Macaca fascicularis: one gene and its partners. The protein of the gene in region 1 interacts with the protein of each later gene in a pairwise test. Links are inferred from orthologs where the notes say so. Each region holds a gene or a part of one and is shown in the gene's direction. Other genes may lie near its edges. The genes, in order: UBE2L6, RNF125 and RNF144A.

Region 1 (3,648 bases):
AATATCCGTCCTTTTTTGTCTAGCTTATTTCCCTGAGCATAGTGTCTTCAAGGTTCATCCAGATTGTAGCATATATCAGAATTTCTTTCCTTTTAAGGCTAAATAATACTCCATTGTGTGTATATGCCACGTTTTGTTGATTGATCCACTTGGTTTGCTTTCACCTTTTGGCTGCTAGAAACATTGGTATACAAATACCTGTTTGTTTTCAGTTCTTTGGGTATCTACCCAGAAGTAGAACTGCTGGATCATATGGTAATTCAGTGTCTAATCTTTGGAGAAATGGCCATACTGTTTTCCACTGCAGCTGCACCTTTGTATTTTCCTGAGTTCCTGAGTTCTTAGGATTTCCTCATTTTCTCCATTTCCTCACCCCCATTCTAATGTTCTAAGAAAGGATGTTCCATCCTTTTCTTCCATAATCTCAGAAATCCATGAAAGCTGAGATGGTCCTTAGAGCTCATCTAGTCCATCTTTATCCACTTTACAAATGAGGAAACTGAGGCCTAGAGGTGGGAAGTGGCTCAACCGTGGTCACACAGCAAAAGCCTGGATCAGACTTCTCTGCCTCCCAGGCCAGTGCCCTTTGGTGATTTCACATTTTCACTAATCCATGACTCAGTTGTCAAATGAATGCAGGTGCTGTGCGTATCCTGGCTCATGTGTCCCCCTGGGAGTGAAGCAGAGGATGCCTAGGACCCTGGGATGGGGGCAGGAAGGGAAGAAAACCAGACCGGAGCTTGACCCCTTTTCTCTCTGCACAGGACCAACCTCCCTACCACCTCAAAGCCTTCAACCTGTGCATCAGCTTCCCGCCTGAGTATCCGTTCAGGCCTCCCATGATCAAATTCACAACCAAGATCTACCACCCCAACGTGGACGAGAGCGGACATGTTTGCCTGCCCATCATCAGCAGTGAGAACTGGAAGCCTTGCACCAAGACTTGCCAAGGTGGGGCTGGGCTTTGCCCGGAGGAGGGACTGATACTGGGTAGAGATTACTGGAAGGGGGTTTCACAGACTTATTCTGAGCTTGAAAAGCCCCGAAGAGAGGAGGTGAAAATTGTGAGTCTTGGCTGAACTTACTGTGAGATAGAAGGGATGCTTCCTGGACAGACTGACCTCTCCTGCCTCTGTTCCTGTACCTGGGCAGTTGTGACAGAGGAACATTGCTGTGGTTCACGAGAGAGGCAGCCTGGCTGTACAGGGAAGGGCTCGGGATAAGAAAGCCCGCTGTTCCCTCTGTGGACTTTGGGCAAGTTTTCGTTCCTTTCTGGGACTCGGTGTCCTAAATGACAGTGGAGGGAACTGGCCTCATAATGAGAACAGCTGTCACTTGACTGAGCACTTTCAGCGCTGTGCTGAGAACATCACATGCGGACTTCATTTTCATTTCCTCCACCACCCCGTGAGGTAGTGTTGTCGTTAGCCTTGTTGAATAGACCCGGACATTTGAGGCATGTGAGAGGCGAAGTGGTTGCCTAAGGTCATACAGATGGCAAACGGCAGCACTTGGCTGAGTCGCGAGCCACATGTGACTGTTGCAACTGAGGAACTCAGTTCTTTTCCTTTTTTAAGACGGAGTCTCGCTCTGTCGCCTAGGCCGGGGTGCAGTGGTGCGATCTCGGCTCATTGCAACCTCTGCCTCCCAGGTTCAGGCGATTCTCTGGCCTCAGCTTCTCGAGTAGCTGGAATTACAGGTGTGTGCCACCACATCCAGCTAATTTTGTGTTTTTAGTAGAGAGGGATTTTGTCATGTTAGCCAGGCTGGTCTCGAACTCCTGACCTCAGGCGATCCGCCTATCTTGGCCTCCCAGAGTGCTGGGATTACAGGTGTGAGTCACTGCGCCTGGCTGGAACTCAATTCTTAATGGTACTTAATTTTAATTTTTTTTTTCTTTTCTTTTGAGACACGGTCTGTCTCTATTGCCCAGGCAGTTAGTTCAATGGTGCGATCTTGGCTCACTGCAACCTCTACCTCCTGGGCTCAAGCCATCCTCCCACCTCAGCCTCCCGAGTAACTGGGACTACAGGAGCATGCCACTACACCTGGCTCATTTTTGTATGTTTTGTAGAGACCAGGTTTTGCTATGTTGCCCAGGCTGGTCTCAAACTCATGAGTTCAAGCCATCCACCCATCTTGGCCTCCCAAAGTGCTGGGATCACAGGTGTGAGCCACCGTGCCCAGCCTGATTTTGATTCATTTAAATTTAGATGCCTGCCTGTGGCTAATGGTTACCATATTGAACAATGCAGCTGTAGAGCCTGTGACTGAGTCAGTGTGCAATCCTCTACCTGGACCACCTCAGGAGTTTTTAACTCAGGAAACAAAAGTCCTTTGCTTGGTGGGAGTGGGAGCAGGGAGAGGAGTGGTCCTTGGATGAGCTTCAAGGGGTCTGGGAACTATCTGTTTTGCACGTGGAGTGTGCGTCTGTCTCAGGAGATGGGCTGCTACCTTCACCAGGTTCCCAAAGGCATCTGTGAAAGATGAAGAGCCAGGGGGCCATGGTGGTTTTCAGTCTTTAGCCTTAGACCCCTTTTGCCCAAGGAAAAGTTTATTTGGACTATCAATATAATGGAGGAAAACAGAGTAGTTTCTGTTGAAATGGGGATAAGACCCAGAAACCTCACTTATTTCAGTGGCTCCCATGATGAAGAGCTTCTCTGAAGCCATGGAATGTAGTTGTTTGAAAACCACTGATGTCATCAGTCAAGGTCTTGGGTGTCACCAACCAAGAATGAGCGGGGTGTTTGATCCGGTCATAGAGTCAGCCTAAGAGATGGAACCTTTCCTCCAAGGAGTGGGTGTGGAGTGTCAAGGCATTGGGAGTGGGCAGCCGTGACCCCCTTCCCTCTGCCCTGATGTCCTGGCCTGTCTCTCCCCAGTCCTGGAGGCCCTGAATGTGCTGGTGAATAGACCGAATATCAGGGAGCCCCTGCGGGTGGACCTCGCTGACCTGCTGACAGAGAATCCGGAGCTGTTCAGAAAGAATGCTGAAGAGTTCACCCTCCAATATGGAGTGGACCGGCCCTCCTAACTCATGTTCTGACCCTCTGTGCACTGGATCCTTGGCATGGTGGATGGACACACCTCATGGACTGAGGCCAGAGCCCCCTATGGCCCATTCCCCACTCATTTTTTCTTTCTTAGGTTGTTAGTCATTCGTTTGTGTGTGTGGGGTAGAGGGAAGGGAGCTGTGAGTGTGTGTGTTGTGTGTGGACTCACTCCCGGGTTCACCTGGCCACAGGTACACCCTTCCCACAGCCTTTGCATCCCCCAGAGCCAAGGGAGTTTAAGTTTGCAGAGTTACAGGCCAGTTCTCCAGCTCTCCATCTTAGAGAGACAGGTCATCTCGCCGGCCCGCTTGCAGGAAATGAGCCCAGCAGCCAACTCGAATCCCCCTAGGGCTCAGGCACTGAGGGCCTGGGGACAGTGGAGCGTATGGGTGGGAGACATATGGAGGGTACCCTATTTACACCTGAGTCAGCAAAGCCACTGATGGGAATCTACAGATTTAGGTGCTAAACCGTTTATTTTCCACGGATGAGTCACAATCTGAAAAATCAGACTTCCATCCTGAAAATCTGTATGTTTCAAAACCACTTGCCATCCTGTTAGATTGCCAGTTCCTGGGACCAGGCCTCAGAC
Region 2 (3,662 bases), on another chromosome or scaffold:
CCCAAAGTGTTGGAATTACAGGCGTGAGCCACCGCGCCCGGCTGATCACATTTAAAGGGCGGGATGGGGAGAGTACAAACAACAGAGGAAATCCTGAGCCGCAGAGGAAACTGGAGACGGCAGGGTTTAGCACTAGAATATCTGTAAGAGAGGTAGGATTGGAATCTGAATCTCCAGAACTCTTTCCACTACCCAGGCTCTCTCTCCATTAATGGACTATTGATTGGACGACAGAGTAATGATAGCACCGTCTTAGGAGACGTCCAATCATAGGTCATAGTTCAATGCAGCTTATTGTGATTACAACAGTGGAGGATGGTCCTTACAAGCGGCTGTTCTCTGATTACCATTAAGCATGGCCACGCCCGCACTTAACTTCTGACAGTGGGGAAAGAGGCTGTGTGTGACAGCTTGGAAGGTTTACTACTGCCTCAAGTCCTCTTCTCTGCAGTTGAGGTTTCAGGTTTCAATCCTCCCAATACCACAAGACAAAGCACCTGGCGGCTGCCGCCTCCGCCTCCGCGCCTTAACCTAGGCGGTTTGCCGAAGATTTCAGCCCCGCGGCCGCGCACTCGCCCTGCCCTAGACCAGGGTTGGGCGCATCGGCGGAGGTTGCTTCTTGGCTGCGCGAGCTGCGCGCGCTGGGAGGCGGCGATCGCAGCTGGGCCGGGACTTCCTTCCTCCACCGCACGACAACAAAACAACCCTGCAGCAGGCACTGAGTGCTTGGCAGCTGTCTGGGCGAGAGGCACAGCGATGGGCTCCGTGCTGAGCAGCGACAGCGGCAAATCGGCTCCCCCCTCTGCCACCCCGCGGGCCCTGGAGCGCAGGGGGGACCCGGAGTTGCCCGTCACGTCCTTCGATTGCGCCGTGTGCCTTGAGGTGTTACACCAGCCTGTCCGGACCCGCTGTGGCCACGTGTAAGTGCCAGGGGAGCTCGGTTTGGGCCCACCCCTAAGGAGGGCGATGTCGGGAAGCTGAGGGCATGGTGTGGGGAAGGAGGGGGACGGAAGACAGCGCCTTAGGAAACTGCTGCAGAGAGAAACCTGGACCCGTCGGGTGCGGGGCCACGGGGAAAACGCCGGTCGGAAGGTGACACAGGATTTCGGGAGGAGAAAAAAGAAACAATCGGGCCCTGCAGCCCCCTTGCGCTGCCTCCTCCCGAAGTCCAGGTGCGGAGCTCCAGAGAAGGGGATCCAGGCACGGGTCCCGCCCAGAGCCAGGGCTCGCCAACAGGGGAGGGTGCTCTTGGCTGGAGAACGAGCGCTCGCCCGGGCACGAAAAAGAAACGAGCTCCAACTGCAAGGCAGGGGCTCCCTCAAAGCGCAGGTACCCCGCTGAACACGGTGGAACAGGCTGCGCTTCCCTCTGCCCCAGAAACTCGGGTCCGTTTTGTTTTGCTGGAGCTGTGCACGTGTTCCCAGAATGCCCACAGAGGCTCGTCTTAAGCAAACAAGGATCTGTGCAAAGTGTTTTTTCCACCCCCACCCCTGCTACCCTTTCCCAACACAGACACCCATCCCCTCAAAGAGCAAGTCAAACTGGAGCTTCCGAGTGACTTTCCACAAGTCGTTAGAGTTTAACAACCTGCTAGGGTGGGGCTTGGACGTTAGCCGCAAGCCCCTGAATGTACTCCTCCAAAACCCAGCCACAACGTGACAGGAGGTGACAGACTACCTGCTTTACACGCCGTCTCTCCAAACCGGCAGAAATTACAGAGTAAAATAACTTTCTCAAAACGGCATAGTACTTAGCTAAAACTCACAGTTGGTGCAAAGCCGTGGTCGTTTCTAAGAAGAGTTTAAAAACAAAGTTCCTATATAAAATTGGCACATGCTTAATGTGTGCTTGAGTAACTGGTGAAGTTGGATCTGTGAATTCGTGCTGTTTACTTTGTGTGTGTGTGTGTGTGTGTGTGTGTGTGTATGAGAGAGAGAGAGAGAGAGAGAGATAGTCTGACTCTGTCGCCCAGGCTGGAGTGCGGTGGCGGTGGCAGGATCTCGGCTTACTGCAACCTCCACCCACTGCAACCTCTGTCTCCCCGCCTCAAGTGATCCTCCTGCCTCAGCCTCCCGAGTTGCTGGGATTACAGGCGCCCACGACCACACCCTACTAGTTTTTGAATTTTGAGTAGAGATGGGGTTTCACCATGTTGGCCAGGCTGGTCTTGAACTCCTGACCTCAATTGATCCACCCACCTCGGCCTCCCAAAGTGTTGGGATTAAAGGTGTGAGACACTGCACCCAGCCTTCTCTCTTTGGTTTGAATTTTGTTCGTGGATGTGTGTGTGTGTGTGTGTCTGCACGGATCAGAAGCGGAAGCCTACTTAATGTCCTTTGAAGGGTGACTATAGTATGATGAAGCCCTGTGTGATACCACAGTGGCATGTACTTGTATTTGGCTTAGCAGGAAGAAAGAAATGCATTTGGCTTAGCAGGAAGAAAGAAATAGCATTATTGCTTCTGAGGATCACTTTTGAAAGGATTTAGGTAGTCCTTAAAAACATGTTGTGCACTTGCATTCAGAAGTTTTGAGGCCGGGCATGGTGGCTCACACCTGGAATCCTTAGGTGATCCTTAATACCTATAGCCTTGTATCTGAAAAGCAGTTTTCACCACTGCCCAACCTGTGAGCCAGGGAAAAAAGTGTGCAGCCTGCACAATGTATAAATAAAGAGTGCTTTGGGCATTATTTCGTAGCTGTATTTTCGAGGCCTGTTGTTTCAGCTTTGTTCTTAAAACTCGAGGCTTAAATTTACCCTCCTTTCTGATTACTAATGTTGCTCAGCTGTCCAGATGTAGCTCATTAACGTAATATCCACAGGCCAATCTGGAAGCCAAGATGGGCTGTGTGAGTCATAAAATATATTGATTATTTTAGGGCAATAACAGCCTAAAGATACCTCCATTGAAATTGAATCATTATTAGCCTTAAAACTTTGAAGTTGTGCAAAACATAAACAGTGGGCATTTTGAAGATTCTTTTTGGAATAGACCGCTTTGCTGCTAATTCAATTATCTGACTGGAGATTGTTTTCCTGTTTTGGACTTTGAATAGTATAACTTACCATTTACAATATTTTTCCTTCTACTAAAGGATAATGTAAGTTTGCAAAATGTTCAATTTTTTGTTTAATCTTTTTCTTTGTTAAAGTGAATAGGAAACTAGCAACTGGAAAAATAACCATAAAATAGCATTACAAGGGCTGAACAAATTGCCTTTCCTCTCTTTACTGTTCTTTGTTTTGACAAATCTATGTCCATTGTTCTAGCTGTGGGCAGAATTTCCATATTCCTCCTTTTGGCAAACTTACTTGGGCCCCTTCCACTTTATAAATGTTAACCAGAGTCTTTTCTGCTGTAGAGATTATGAGCGTTGTTAATGCCATTTGTACATTCTAAATGAATTACTCTTTTCCATTGAAATTAAGTTGGAAAATGAATAAATGCAAATGAACCTTCTGTATTTTATTATCCCATATTGAAGCTACAGTTTCAGACATATTGAACTAGGTGGTTTATGCTGATTTTCAAGTCAAACAAGTTTAATAGTAACAGCAGTACCTTGACTGAATATGTACAGAGCACTTTATAAGTTGTATTGTGATGCAGTAGTAACTGGCCCTTATAGAAAGCTGGATTTGAAATTCCCCTCTGCCACTA
Region 3 (3,648 bases), on another chromosome or scaffold:
CACGTTCCTCTGTCTGGAGGCTCAGCCGTCCCAGAGACAGGACTGTGGGTCCTCATGCCTACGTCCCACTGCCAGCCCAGTGCCTGGCCAAGTGAATGCTGACGTCAAATCTCACCATGTATTGTTTTGTTTTGTTTTTTTAAAACAAAGTAAAGCTCAGAGAGATTAAATAATACAACGGGTTATCCACCTGTAATCAGGCCCGACTAGAGCCAACACCTGAAAATGTTACCATCTCACAGTAGGATCAAACCCAGCATTCCAGCCCCACGCCAGGCAGCAGCCCGGCTGGGCAGGGTAGTAACTGCAGGGATGAGAGGGGATGCTGGGTGCACTGTCATCTGTCATGTGCTTCTGAAAGGAAACTGTTTTAAAAGGAAAGTCACCTTTTTAAAAAGTCTTAGGCGTTTTTAAGCAGGGAGTTCTTAGAGACCCGCTTCATTAATCTGCTATAAATACACCTCTGGGAGATAAGAATTAACATTAGTTTCCTCTAGTGTGCCAAAAATATATTATTTGCTCTGTTTGAAAATATGTCTCATACACTACACACGTATGTAGTACGTGTTGGGGAGGATAATGGGGAGGATAATGCAGAATGTTAATAGACATCTACACCTGAGCCTGGGGCCGTGTTCACAGGATGTGACGTGCCGTGGCAGCACAGGAAGCACGTTTGCAGTCAGCAGTCTGAGCAGCCATTTGTCCCTGACCTTTTCGATGAGGAATCTGTCCGTATGAGGACAGGCAGTGCCAAGTCACAGCTCTGTGAGGACAAAACTAATAAGATTTAAATCGTTCCCATGGAAACCTTAGCCAGGTCTCCCCTGCATGCTGTCCTGGGGGGCCTTTCGTGATGGGGGTGCATAATAGCATCTCCCACTCTTGAGCCAGTAGGCTGGGCAGGAGGCGGTGCATGACCATCACGTGCATGAAGAGACCGAGACCCAGCTTTGGGACATCTGCTCCTTGCTGATGTCAGAAGCTCCTCACCGCACAGGAGGGGTAGGGACAACAGTGGGACGGAAGGGTCCCTGGCAGGCAGCACTGCCCTTCTGGGTCTAGCCCCAGAGCTATATGGGAGGAGAGCAAAGAGTGAGCGAGGATTTCTCTTCGCGCGCAGTGTATTGTTCAGTGCACAGAGCACTTGCATCCTCCTGCAGGGCTGGGCAGACACGGGCCTCCTATCTCATCAGGGACAACGCTGGGCTCACCCCACAGCATGCACAGACGGCAGGCAGCGAGGTGTTGGAGGCATCGCAGGTACGGGATGGGAGCGTGACCCAGGCCAGCTGCCTTTAGCCTTTGGCGTTTCCTCCTCACTGCTCAGTGTGGCGCTCGGTGCCCCAGGCCGGCACGTGCAGCCCCTCCTTGCTTTGCTGTGGACCCTCAGCTCAGGGGAGCGCCAGGCATCTGCCCCCACACAGGTGACCCACAGACAACAACTACATTTTCTCAAAAAGCCACTTGTCAGAACTGACAGCTAGGAGCATTCTTAGGAAAGCAAATGCAGAAACTATCCACAAGTAAGAGAAGAGCTAAATGTGTCCATTCACTCAATGTGAGGAGCACCCTGGGGATTTTAGATTATTCTAATGAAGATAATTAGAGTAGAGCACCTGTTCCTGACCTCCAGTGTTCCTCATTATTATCAAGTTCTTCTTAATTTTCTACCACCCCTAACATTCGGACGGTTTTTGTGCTGTTGATTAATTCACGCTTTAAAAAAAAGGCAGGGGGCAGCCAGATGAGATCAAGGGTCAGCCTGCCATGGCCAGTGGGCCAGATCCAGTCCGGCCAGTGGCCTGCTGCTGTCAAGTTTTGCTAGAACATTCATTTCCAGGTCACTGTGTCTGCTTTTGTGCTGCAACAGCAAAAACCCAGTAGTTACTGCAGAAACCCAGAAACAACTTGGTCCTCGACTTCTATGATGACTATCCGACCCTCTACAGAGGAAGTTTGCCAGCCCCTGGATTAGATGACTAGATTAGTTTAAAGCTAGACCCTACACAAGATGGTTTCTAGAGCGCTGAATCTGGCTTCCCCGTGTACTGGGGGAACATGTAAACACACAGAGCCTTACACGTACATATGCGTGTGCACCGTCAGGACACCCAGCTGGTGATTTGTCATTCATTTGCTGCTGGTCCCGTGGCAATGCGTGTAGGTGAAGTCCTGGTCCACGTGTGGTGCCAGCCTGTTGTGGATTCCAGTGAGAGGAATCCCATGTGTGATGCAGGTGAGCGGGAGCTGCCCGGCTGCCAGTCACAGGGCCCGGACATTGGCAAGGACTTGTCATCGCCTTTCAAGTCGTCTCTGAAACTCAGTTGTCCCGACAGACGACGACTTCCCAAGAAGAGCCCCGCTGAAAACTTAGAAACCAGTGGCCCACCAGAACGCCTTTGGAAATAGCCCACATTGCACTGGCCTCGGAGAGCTTTCTGGCGGAGCCTGCCTTCTCCCCGGGGTGGCCCCTCATCGAGAATTCGGCGTCATGCCGGACAAGAGGGAAGATTAAATGAACAACCAGTCTCCTTACAAAGGGCAGCCAGTAATTTAAAGAAATGTAATTTTTGGACAAGGATGTGAAGAAATAGATGTGTCAAGGTGTCCTGTTTTTAGAAATAAGCTTCTTGGCCAATTCCATAAGATTGGGCTCTTAGAAATGTGCGCTGTGATTCGGAGAGAAAATCTGGCCCTTGAAGGGTTGGTTTCACTCCGTAGTTAACTCATGGCTTGGATTTGAGAAGGGGAGGCCATCTTAGGCAGGTGAACTATTTGGTTAGAAGAATAATCCAGCCATCTTCTTCCCTCTTCCTTTCCGTCTTCTAACAGCGTTTTCCTGGTGCTGGGTGTGTGCCCAACACGGGCCATCAGGGGCCCGGCTTCAGAAAGCTGTCCCCTACGGGAGGCAGATGAGCTAGCACGATGTGCGTTGCTCAGAGAAACCTGACAGGCAGGTGGGACAAGCTTTCCAGAATGTGGAGGCCTTTGAGCTGTGAGCTGAGTCCCAGAGGCAAGCAGGGCTGACCCAGGGCTCCAAGGGCATTCCAGGGACAGGAGCAGCATTCCTGAGGGATGCCTGGGGTGTCTGGAGGTCTGTTGCATGAAGGGAGAGGTTGGGAGGTGGAGGTGGAAGGGTGACTTGGGCAGTGCTTCGGTTGGGGCTGGTGGTTCTGGCTGTATTACCTGGATGTGTTTCTCTCTGTCCGTGCACTGAGGGGCTCCTTCCTCTGAAGCCCACATGACCCTCTGGCTTAAGTTTGATTTGCCCATTTTGTCTCCCTATACCAGAGGTGCTGTTTGATCCCTGTCGGACTTGGTGCCCAGCGTCCACCTGCCAGGCTGTGTGTCAGCTCCAGGACGTGGGGCTGCAGACCCCCCAGCCAGTGCAGTGCAAAGCCTGCCATATGGAATTCTGTTCCACCTGCAAAGCCAGCTGGCACCCTGGCCAGGGCTGCCCGGAGACCATGCCGATCACCTTCCTTCCCGGGGAGACCAGGTACCCTTTGTACACACTCTGCCACAAAGGCGTGGGCTGTGGGCCAGGAGAAGCAGGCAGGCATGTTTCTTCCTAAAAGTGCCGTTACAGTGTAAGTGGCTGTGGCTCAGTCAACCCTAACACACACTGTACCTCTTGAGCCTCAC

The links.
Region 2: the proteins of UBE2L6 (region 1) and RNF125 interact in a two-hybrid assay, tested with the Homo sapiens proteins (3 studies listed by BioGRID and IntAct). The link is inferred for Macaca fascicularis from reciprocal best matches to the Homo sapiens genes UBE2L6 and RNF125.
Region 3: the proteins of UBE2L6 (region 1) and RNF144A interact in a two-hybrid assay, tested with the Homo sapiens proteins (2 studies listed by BioGRID and IntAct). The link is inferred for Macaca fascicularis from reciprocal best matches to the Homo sapiens genes UBE2L6 and RNF144A.

Annotation. Positions count from the first base shown.
Region 1 is NC_088388.1:16,061,062-16,064,709, forward strand, and holds part of UBE2L6 (ubiquitin/ISG15-conjugating enzyme E2 L6), read left to right. Parts: intron 1-764; coding exon 765-951; intron 952-2,885; coding exon 2,886-3,037; 3' UTR 3,038-3,648. UniProt on the Homo sapiens protein: Catalyzes the covalent attachment of ubiquitin or ISG15 to other proteins. Functions in the E6/E6-AP-induced ubiquitination of p53/TP53. Promotes ubiquitination and subsequent proteasomal degradation of FLT3.
Region 2 is NC_088392.1:57,852,016-57,855,677, reverse strand, and holds the start of RNF125 (E3 ubiquitin-protein ligase RNF125), read left to right. Parts: upstream 1-717; 5' UTR 718-756; coding exon 757-920; intron 921-3,662. UniProt on the Homo sapiens protein: E3 ubiquitin-protein ligase that mediates ubiquitination and subsequent proteasomal degradation of target proteins, such as RIGI, MAVS/IPS1, IFIH1/MDA5, JAK1 and p53/TP53.
Region 3 is NC_088387.1:115,097,568-115,101,215, reverse strand, and holds part of RNF144A (E3 ubiquitin-protein ligase RNF144A), read left to right. Parts: intron 1-3,294; coding exon 3,295-3,502; intron 3,503-3,648. UniProt on the Homo sapiens protein: E3 ubiquitin-protein ligase which accepts ubiquitin from E2 ubiquitin-conjugating enzymes UBE2L3 and UBE2L6 in the form of a thioester and then directly transfers the ubiquitin to targeted substrates.